Schizosaccharomyces pombe: one gene and its partner. The gene in region 1 interacts genetically with each later gene. Each region holds a gene or a part of one and is shown in the gene's direction. Other genes may lie near its edges.

What was found.
Region 2: mutations in coq11 (region 1) and syj2 together harm fitness more than expected from each alone (negative genetic interaction), as found in Schizosaccharomyces pombe (one large-scale study listed by BioGRID).

What each region holds. Positions count from the first base shown.
Region 1 is NC_003421.2:2,273,522-2,277,245, reverse strand, and holds coq11 (ubiquinone biosynthesis protein Coq11), read left to right. Parts: upstream 1-1,776; 5' UTR 1,777-2,047; coding exon 2,048-2,878; 3' UTR 2,879-3,079; downstream 3,080-3,724. Other genes in the region: pdi5 (protein disulfide isomerase), read left to right, coding at 3,402-3,724. UniProt on the Schizosaccharomyces pombe protein: Acts in the coenzyme Q biosynthetic pathway.
Region 2 is NC_003423.3:773,611-779,362, forward strand, and holds syj2 (inositol-1,4,5-trisphosphate 5-phosphatase 2), read left to right. Parts: upstream 1-2,110; 5' UTR 2,111-2,162; coding exon 2,163-4,396; intron 4,397-4,441; coding exon 4,442-4,660; intron 4,661-4,705; coding exon 4,706-4,757; intron 4,758-4,807; coding exon 4,808-4,972; 3' UTR 4,973-5,111; downstream 5,112-5,752. Other genes in the region: dph6 (endoribonuclease), read left to right, coding at 1-875, 971-1,785.

The sequences.
Region 1 (3,724 bases):
TCGATGTGCCTTACTATCTTAGTTTTTGAATGAAAAATTAATGACGGCTCGAATATAAAGGGGACGGTCTTCGCTCTTTATTCAGCAAAGAACGTATGGAATAGAAAGAATTTGTACTAAATGTGTCACCATAAGTGCGAAGCTTTAGGGTTTTTACATTATAAGACAAGTTAGATTTTTGTTTTAAAGGTGGCATTTAGAATATAGACAGATGAAGTTAAAGGGCGCAGCTCGTTTTCCTTGGCACTTTTTTACACTCATCTCAGTACTTGTATTATCTTCTCAAAGCAGCTTGGTAGTACAATTTTCTTGGATATTATCCCTATCTGATAAAATAAAGTTTCGCTAATAATTAAGCGAAGACTTACAACTTTGACGAAGCAGCACACAGAACTAAACCAGTAGATCATAGTGACTATAAAAGCAAATCTACTTAAAGAGGCTGAGAAATTGCCATCGTGAGTTTATTTATTTTCAGCTATATTCTTCAATGTAAATTTAAGTATTTATTGAGAAAAATTTAAGAAAGTTAAGTTGTTCGTTATAACGTACAGCAGCTACGAAAGGATATTTATACTACTGTCTCGCAAATAAACATTCTAGCAACTCATTAACATCATAACTTGTGTTGGAATAGTAGACAACTATGATGAATAAAATAAAATAAAAAGGGCAAGTTAGAAATCAGAAATTTATGCTTAATGTTTCATTTGGATTTTCGTTATTTCCAATGTATTCTGAATATACTCATACTTAAACACATATTGTTATATGTTATATTTGTTACATCAGGGGGATCGATATATCATATACTCCACAGTATAGCTAATTTATTTGTAACCCTTTTTGAAGAAATATTTATTTGGTATTGAGAATTAAATTAAATTTAAAGATTTACTATATCATAGCCTATTTACTCAATCTGTTCAAATGTTGCTTTCGCAAACATATTTTTATCAGTCACAATATAATGAAATACACATTTGATTTAAAACAATTTCAAAAAAAAAAAAAGGATGTTGATTAGAATGAAAGAAAAAAAATAAGATTTATATATTTTCAAAACAAAAAAGGTGTAGATATCAATAATAAGAAGACTTAAAATTCTAATAGATCTCGTAACGATCAGTTATTTTAAATTTATAAAATTAAACCACAGTGTATTGTTTTAGAATATATGAATTTAATACTTTCGCTCAACGATTTCTTGATCGATCAACTAAATATGTAATAATATTAATTAAAAAAAAATAAAAAAAATTTGAGATTTTTTCTTTCCTCTTGCTATGAATCACGAAATTTTCTGTATGAACAGAATAGCAATCAACTGGCTTCTCAGACACTTCATAAAACTCGAAATTGTGTCTTCAGGGTTATCGGAATAAATATTATGATTCATAAGCTCTATTGTTAGCTTAAAATTGAATTTGTTATTAATCTAACATATTTGTAAATGGGTTTATGAAGTATTTGAATTTGAGATCTTATTATTACGAATTTAAAATCCAAAGATAATTAAGAAATTAATCAATGGCTTATAAAGTATAGAAAATTAAAGACTAAATTATCAAAGCATTTTTATTTTTAATTTTTTTTAGCGCTCTCATTTAAGACAAACTTTTACTAATACTCCAATTATGAATGATGGTTATTTTGCATACTTATTAAATGATGTACATATTTTTATAAATTAATAAGTCTAATAGAAGATAATTAATTACCTCTTTCCATCTCTTGGTCTTCCTTATTGAGCTAGCACATTACCTCATTCTCTTCAACTACGATTTACTAACTACTCAGGTTGAAAGGGTTTTTTGAACATTGTTCGTAAAAGGAAATTTTAAAAATATTTTGAGACAGCATTTTTGTGTTTCTCAATTATTAAGATTAATAATAAGCATCACGAAACTTTGAGGTGTTAGCTTACATTAACAATTCTGGGGTTCTAATCCTTATAATAATTTGGGCTGGCCTATATCAAATTGTCTAATTTGAAGATTTAAATTCTTTAAATAATTTTATTTTTACTTTCTCCCTCGTTTTAAGTATGAAAATTGTTGTTTTAGGTGGTTCAGGCTTTTTAGGGCATAATATTTGCAAATTAGCCATTGCTAAGGGTTACGAGGTGGTTTCAGTATCCCGAAGAGGAGCTGGAGGATTGCATAACAAAGAACCATGGATGGATGATGTTGAATGGGAGACGTTGGATGCTCAAAAAGATCCAAATTCATTACTTCCTGTTCTTCGTGATGCCTCGGCAGTGGTGAACAGTGTTGGTATCCTTATGGAAAATAACTATAAAAAGATTTTACAGAATCCCAGAGGACCAGTTTCGCATTTAATCAATAGTCTTAGCTCTAACATGTTTAAAACTGGCCAAAACCCTTTAGCACCTAAACCTGAAGAAGCAAAGCAATCTAAAAATAAAGTTACATTTGAAGCAATCAATCGAGATTTAGCTATTGAAACAGCTAAGATTGCCGCCAAAGCTAATGTCCCTGTGTATTGCTATGTGTCTGCTCATGCAGCGGCTCCCGGGTTGGATCCCCGCTACATAAAAACGAAACGTGAAGCTGAAAGGGAAATATCTAAAATTTCAAACCTTCGTTCTATATTTCTCCGTCCTGGTTTTATGTATAACTTTAATGATCGTCCTTTCACAGGCGCCCTTGCGTCTCTTTTTACTGTCTCATCCAGCATCAATCGAGCAACCTCTGGTGCTTTAAATTTCCTCGGAACCGCTTCGGCTGAACCCCTTCCTTCTGAGGAAGTTGCTTTGGCTGCTTTGGAGGCTATTTCTGATCCCAGTGTCAAGGGTCCTGTGGAAATTTCCGAATTAAAATCTATGGCTCATAAGTTTAAGCAAAAATCTCTATGATTCTCTTGTTAAAAGTAAATTACACATCATAAGTTTATGAAAATGAATGATTGGGTTATGTGTAATGAATTTTGACCAGTCTTAATTATATCTACCTGAATACGTCTTTATACTTTCAAGTTAAAATATGATTGCTAAACAAAGAGAAAAAGTATCGTCTAATTTAAATTCTCTGCTCAATATTTACATCATTTGAACTACTGTTATCTAAGTCGTAGAATCTTTTCCAACTATAATTGCCAAATTTGCTTCCTGACTGTATTTATTAACTAGAAAATTAAAACAAGTTATTTCAAAAAATTAGAAAGAAAGCTCTTTTCCCATGTTAACTCGAGCTATATTTGCTTCGATATATCAGCTGTTGTAGTAACCATACATTTTACCTTATTATACACCTCGCACTACCTATATCAAACGCACGCATTCGAAAGGTCCTCGGTGAATTAAAGAATTAAGAAGATAGAGAAGTTCATAATCCTTTTAATTTACTTATTCAAATTGGACTTACAGTCGTAAATTATTTATGGAGCTGGGTGCTTGGAGATCTATTCTCTATATTGCGTTCCTGTTCGCGATTACGCGCCATGCCTTTTGTAAAGCAGTTAACTTGGTGCATTCACCAGAAGGAGAAGAGTTCGAAAATATTTTGAGCTCTGTTTCTGCTACAGTTGAGAAGAAAGAAGTCAACAATAAATTAATAATGCCGACAGCTAATCGCGACAACCAAGGAGTAAGAGAAGAACTTTTAGTTTCTAGTTTTAAAGAAAGAAAGCTGTTGAACACCAATTCAGCCAATTTGCGGCTAAATAGTATTGGCTCATACGAAATGATCGACTTCAAACAGAT
Region 2 (5,752 bases), on another chromosome or scaffold:
TTTCATGTACCAAAGTGTTGGACACGATGTAATTCCATTGTATGCTGAATGCTTCGATCTACCGTTATATCGAGAGAAAATCGGTGGACAAAGTATCAATCAAAACTTGGATTATCAATTTACAGAAAAGGATGAAACAGAAGACTTATATAGACTCATAAAGCGTGTATTGACAAATCATCCAGATCTCGAAGCCGTTTCTACCGGCGCTATACTTTCCACATATCAACGGACTCGAGTAGAAAATGTTTGCAAACGGTTAGGTTTGAAAAGCTTGTCTTTTCTTTGGCAAAAAGATCAGGAAAAATTACTCAACGATATGGTTGTTTCTGGTTTGAATGCCATCTTGATCAAAGTAGCTGCAATTGGCCTTACGAGGAAGGATTTGGGGAAATCTCTAGCTGAAATGCAAGATAAACTTCTTACCCTAAATAAAAAATTCGAACTGCATCCTTGCGGTGAAGGAGGTGAATACGAAACATTGGTTTTAGATTGCCCATTGTTCAAGAAGCGAATTGTTTTGACTGATAAAGAGGTTGTTGAGCATTCTTCTGGGGAAGTCTGTTATTTGAAAGTTAAGGCCTGTGTTAAAGATAAGCCTGAATGGCAACCTATCTCGCTGAAAAGTGAATTAGTTCCAAATGAAGAATTACTTGGGGAAGAATATTCACATATTTATCATACTATATCTAAAAAATACGAACTTATTGACGATCAAGAGGAGACGCCTACTTCTCTTATCCCAATTCCTCTTCGTGAAAGCGCCTTTCAGCAAAAAAAGGGCTCATTTTTAGTATTGGGTAATGTGGTTGCTACCAAAGGATCTTATAACACGTTTCAAGGTGAAGCTGAATCTGCTATAAACAACTTAAATGGTAAGTTACATATTGATTGTCTTCGTTAATCATATTCTTGATTCGGCTATGCCACCGAACATTTCCTTTAAACCGCTAGAATACTAACTTCCTAGAACTGCTTGGTACATATGGATATTCTAACAAAAATGTTTACTTTGTAACCGTCATTTTATCTTCCATGTCTAAGTTTGCAGAATTTAACTCTGTTTACAATAAATATTTTGATTTCACGAACCCACCTTCCCGGTCTTGCGTCGCAGCTCCTCTAGCTAGTGAGTATAGGATAGTCATGTCCTGTATTGTTGGAGATGTAACCGAGAAAAGAGCGCTTCATGTTCAAGGGCAAAGTTATTGGGCGCCAGCCAACATTGGTCCATATTCGCAGTCGATCTGTGCAAATGGTGTTGTTTTCATTTCTGGACAAATTGGTTTAATACCATCAGTTATGGAGTTAAAACTTCATGACAAAATATTTGAGATGGTACTGGCTCTTCAACACGCAAATCGTGTTGCAAAAGCAATGCGAGTAGGTTCACTCATAGCATGCTTGGCATATGTTTGTGATTCTCGTGATGCGGATTGTGTTGTTAAAATTTGGTCAGAATATACAAAAAATACTGGGGAGTCAAGTCCTGTTTTGGTTGCGTTGGTTGATGCCTTACCAAGGAATGCCTCAGTAGAATGGCAATTGCTTTACAATGATAGCTCTTGTGATGTTCCACTTCTAAGTTCACTCGTTACAAATCAAACGCTTTTTGGTTCTGATACAGCATGGGATGTCGCCTTATTGAACCAAAATGGTTTACGAATGGAGTCCTCCTTTATTCATCATGAACATCCTTCCGCATATGCTATCGTATTGAACAATGCATTTCCAAATTCTCAGTTATTACACGTGCGTTATACAGCTAGAGATCAAAATGTATAACTTAATGTACATAGGAATTAGATTGTAATGAAATGGTCGAACTTAGCTTTTACACAACTTTTTTTACTGTTTTCATATATACAGGCCAAATTAAAACGCTAAAAAGCGTATTTCTTACGCATATATATTCGGTAGTTTGGCAATTTGTATAATATAATTGATGATAACAAGCTGAAGTTTATCAGGTTTTCAACCAATACGATTAAATAAATATTTTCAGGACATTCCTTTTGTTTCAACGCTTAAATTTAACTTTTTCACTGGAAATCTACAATACTTGCTAGCTATGTGTATCTCCTTACTGCGTCAGTATATCTACGTATTTAGTGTCTACCATCCACGCAAAGCAGGAAATAAGCATATATTTATTTCCTGCCATGCAGTGCTATCTCAAACGAAAAGAAAGATCTGTTGCATTTATTACAGAGAAATATGCGGCAATTATTCAAAAACCGTCTGTTAAGGATTCTGATTGCATAATAACATTCACTTGTATCTCACTTGAAGAATTCGAAAAGATAAAGGAATATGAATTACTTTTTGGAGGAGAGAAGATATTGGGAACCCTTGGGTTGTTTAATTATGTATGTGAGGATATGAAAGAAGGCGTTTTCCTATGCGTTGCCCGGAAAGCAAAACTAGTGCTTCGAATTGGTAATAGAGACCCAATTTCGAAACTTGAAAATGTCTCCTTCATCTCTTTAGATCAGGAATTATGGGATGAAGAGTTGTTCGAACCCATGCCTCGTAATAGTTCACCAAGCTCTACTTTTTCGACAAGCACTTCTGACTTGAATAATATTGAAAAAGATAATTTGGTTAATAGCGAATATTCTAGTAAATACTCTTCAACTACTAGGATATATCCATATCATTCCCTTTCTCAATTGACCGATTTGCTCACCGATGGTTCATTTTATGTCTCTACAAATATTTCTTGCTTTTCAAGGTTTCAATCCGAGCAGCCTTATGGTCCCAAAGATATTTATTGTTGGAATAGATTTCTCATAACGGAATTGGATAACCACTTCTCTGAAGCCCATATTTTGGAGAAATTCCCGAACCTGTTGCTCCATTGCTTTCGGGGTTATGTTGAGAGAATGTTCATTGATAGTATGTCTATGAGTATAATCTCCAAGGTATCTAGTTATGGCTCTCGGCAAACATACCCTCCCTCTGGTATTGATGATTCGTCTTATTGTTCTATGTTTGTGGAGACAGAATTTATTGTCGAGATCGCACAAACGGTCTTTAGCTTCGTACAAGTTCGAGGGACAGTCCCATGTTTCTGGGAGGAACAATTCTCTTCTTGGTATGGACCCTCTATTTCTTTTTTGAGATCTTCGCAGGCAAGTCAAAGTCTATTTAATTTTCACTTTAGTAAGCTATACAAAGCTTATGGTGATATATATGTAATCGATCTTTTACAAACAAAAGGCTTTGAAGCTTCGCTATATGAAGCTTACAAGCATCACCTTATGCTTCTACCTTTTCCTGCCGTTGTCAAGAAATTCCACTTTACACCTGATCCTGCTCGTCCTGACATTGATCCACGATTAGAGACCGATTTGGCCGACGATTTAAAAGAGATGGGCTATACTCAAAAGTCTATTGAAAATGACATGTTGGAATCTTTCCAAAAAGGAGTGTTTCGGATTAATGATTTGGATTGTCTGGGACGCACAAACGTTATTCAGTATCAAATATCTCGATTAGTATTAAAGGATATATTTTTTAACCTTCAAATAGGAGTAACTTTCAATATTCTTGAATACCTAAGACATCTCTGGTCTAATAACGGTGATGCTATTGCGAAACTAATTACAGGGGTTGGCTCCATTGGTTCAAGCGCTACCCGTAGAGGTCGTAAATCTATTGCGGGATCTTTAAGTGATATATCCAAATCTTTTGGCCGCATGTATGTTGGAAGATATCCAGACGTAGAATCTCAAAATGCCATTTTATTGCTGTTGGGATGTTTTCCGAATCAAAGTCCCGTACTCATATCTGAATCCGTGTCTTCTTACATCCAAGGTGTGCTAAGACAACGTCGTTCTGAATATAGAGTCGAAAGGGATTTTAGCATATTTTCGTCGACATTTAATGCAAATGGTAAAGTACCCAGCACTGATGAATTTAAAAGGCTGTTACTTCCATTTGGCGAAAGAACTTCCGCTTATGATCTTTACGTTGTAGCGGTTCAAGAGATAATTACCTTGAACATGAGTCATCTTGTTAGTTCAAGCAATCAGAAACTTAGGATTTGGGAAGAGAAAATACTTATGATTCTCAATTCTCGAGATTCTAATAATAAGTATATGTTAATTAGCTCTATTCAAATGGCAGGTGTTTTCCTTGGTGTATTTATACGGAAGGATGATCATCTTGTTGTTTCAAAAGTTACCAAAACAACTCGAAAGACAGGCTTTGGCGGGTTTTCTGCCAATAAGGGTGCCGTTGCAATTGAAATGAATGTTTGCGACTCGGATTTTTGTTTTGTTTCTTCACATTTCGCTCCTAAGGTTAATAATATTTCGGAGCGCAACATGGAGTATACAAGTATATCTGATAACCTTGTTTTTCCATCTGGAATGAAAATTTATGATCATACGTATGTGACGATAAGTATTTAAAAAATCATTACTGACAAACATAGGAACATTTTATGGATGGGTGATTTTAATTATCGTATAGATTCTGATAACGAAGAAGTTCGAAAACTTGTTGAACTGGACGACTTAGACAAGTTGGCTTCATATGATCAGTTATGCACAGAAATGAAGAAAGGCACCGTGTTTCATGGTTTAGTTGAACCACAGTTAACATTTCTTCCTACTTACAAATTTGATAATGGAACCAATGATTATGACACTTCGTACGTTTACCATAAACCAAATCCACACTGTTAACATGGCTATAGAGATAAACAGAGAGTGCCTTCATGGACAGATCGAATCTTGGCCACAAAAAGTGTAAGTTGTAGATATATTTCAATGTAGTGTACCTCTAACCGAAACTTTAGTTTACTAGGAATTGCTATAAATCTTGTGACATTAGATGTTCCGATCATCGTCCTGTATTCGCTACTTTCAGCCTTAAAATATTCAGTACTTGTATGGACAAGAAAGCCGGAATCATAAGAGACGCAAGGATTGCTTATATTAAAAGCAAAAATAGTAATAAATAGTCGTTAACGATTATTTATGATCTACGCCTCCCTTTGCTGAAATTTCGTATTTCCAACTATTTAAAGTGCACATTTAATCTATCTATTTATTTTTAATTTTTGTTTTAAAATAATATATTTTTTTGATGTTTCCTTCGTATTATTAACATATTAAAGAGAGAAAAGCATTCAAACTATATAACCAAAAAACAGGCATAACTTAAAAAAAGGGGTAATAAAAGCAAAAATATGATCGTAAACCCAATCTAAATAAAATCTACAACTAAATCATGAAAAGCCTCGTGAATTGAATAAATTTGGTATTCACAAGGAAGTAATAAATGAACCTGGATTGAATAAATTCTCGCTGACTCTTTCCAAGCACACCTAAGACAAAGTGTAACCGAAGAAAATATTTAATGAAGTTCCATGAAAAATAATAATGGGGGAGGAAGAAATAATATGTTCACAGTTTAACCATGACATGTGATGAGGGGCATATATTTTTATCAATTCAGCTCAATAACAAATTTATCAAAACAACCGAGAAAATTTGCCAGTGTTCTTACTTTGAGATGCAAATAAAGGATGAATCAAAGCTTAAGGATAAACAGATATAGTCTCGTTCACAGCTCCATGCCGAAAAGAGCATGATCGCTACAATTGAGATGTGGGAGAGGCTCAAAACCCACCCAATGTAAGCTTTTTACTAAATAAGGGAGAGAACTGTTATTTTTATCAACGAATAATACCAGCTTCGAGCAGTGAAGCCGATCCACGGCTAAGTCTATGATGGCAACT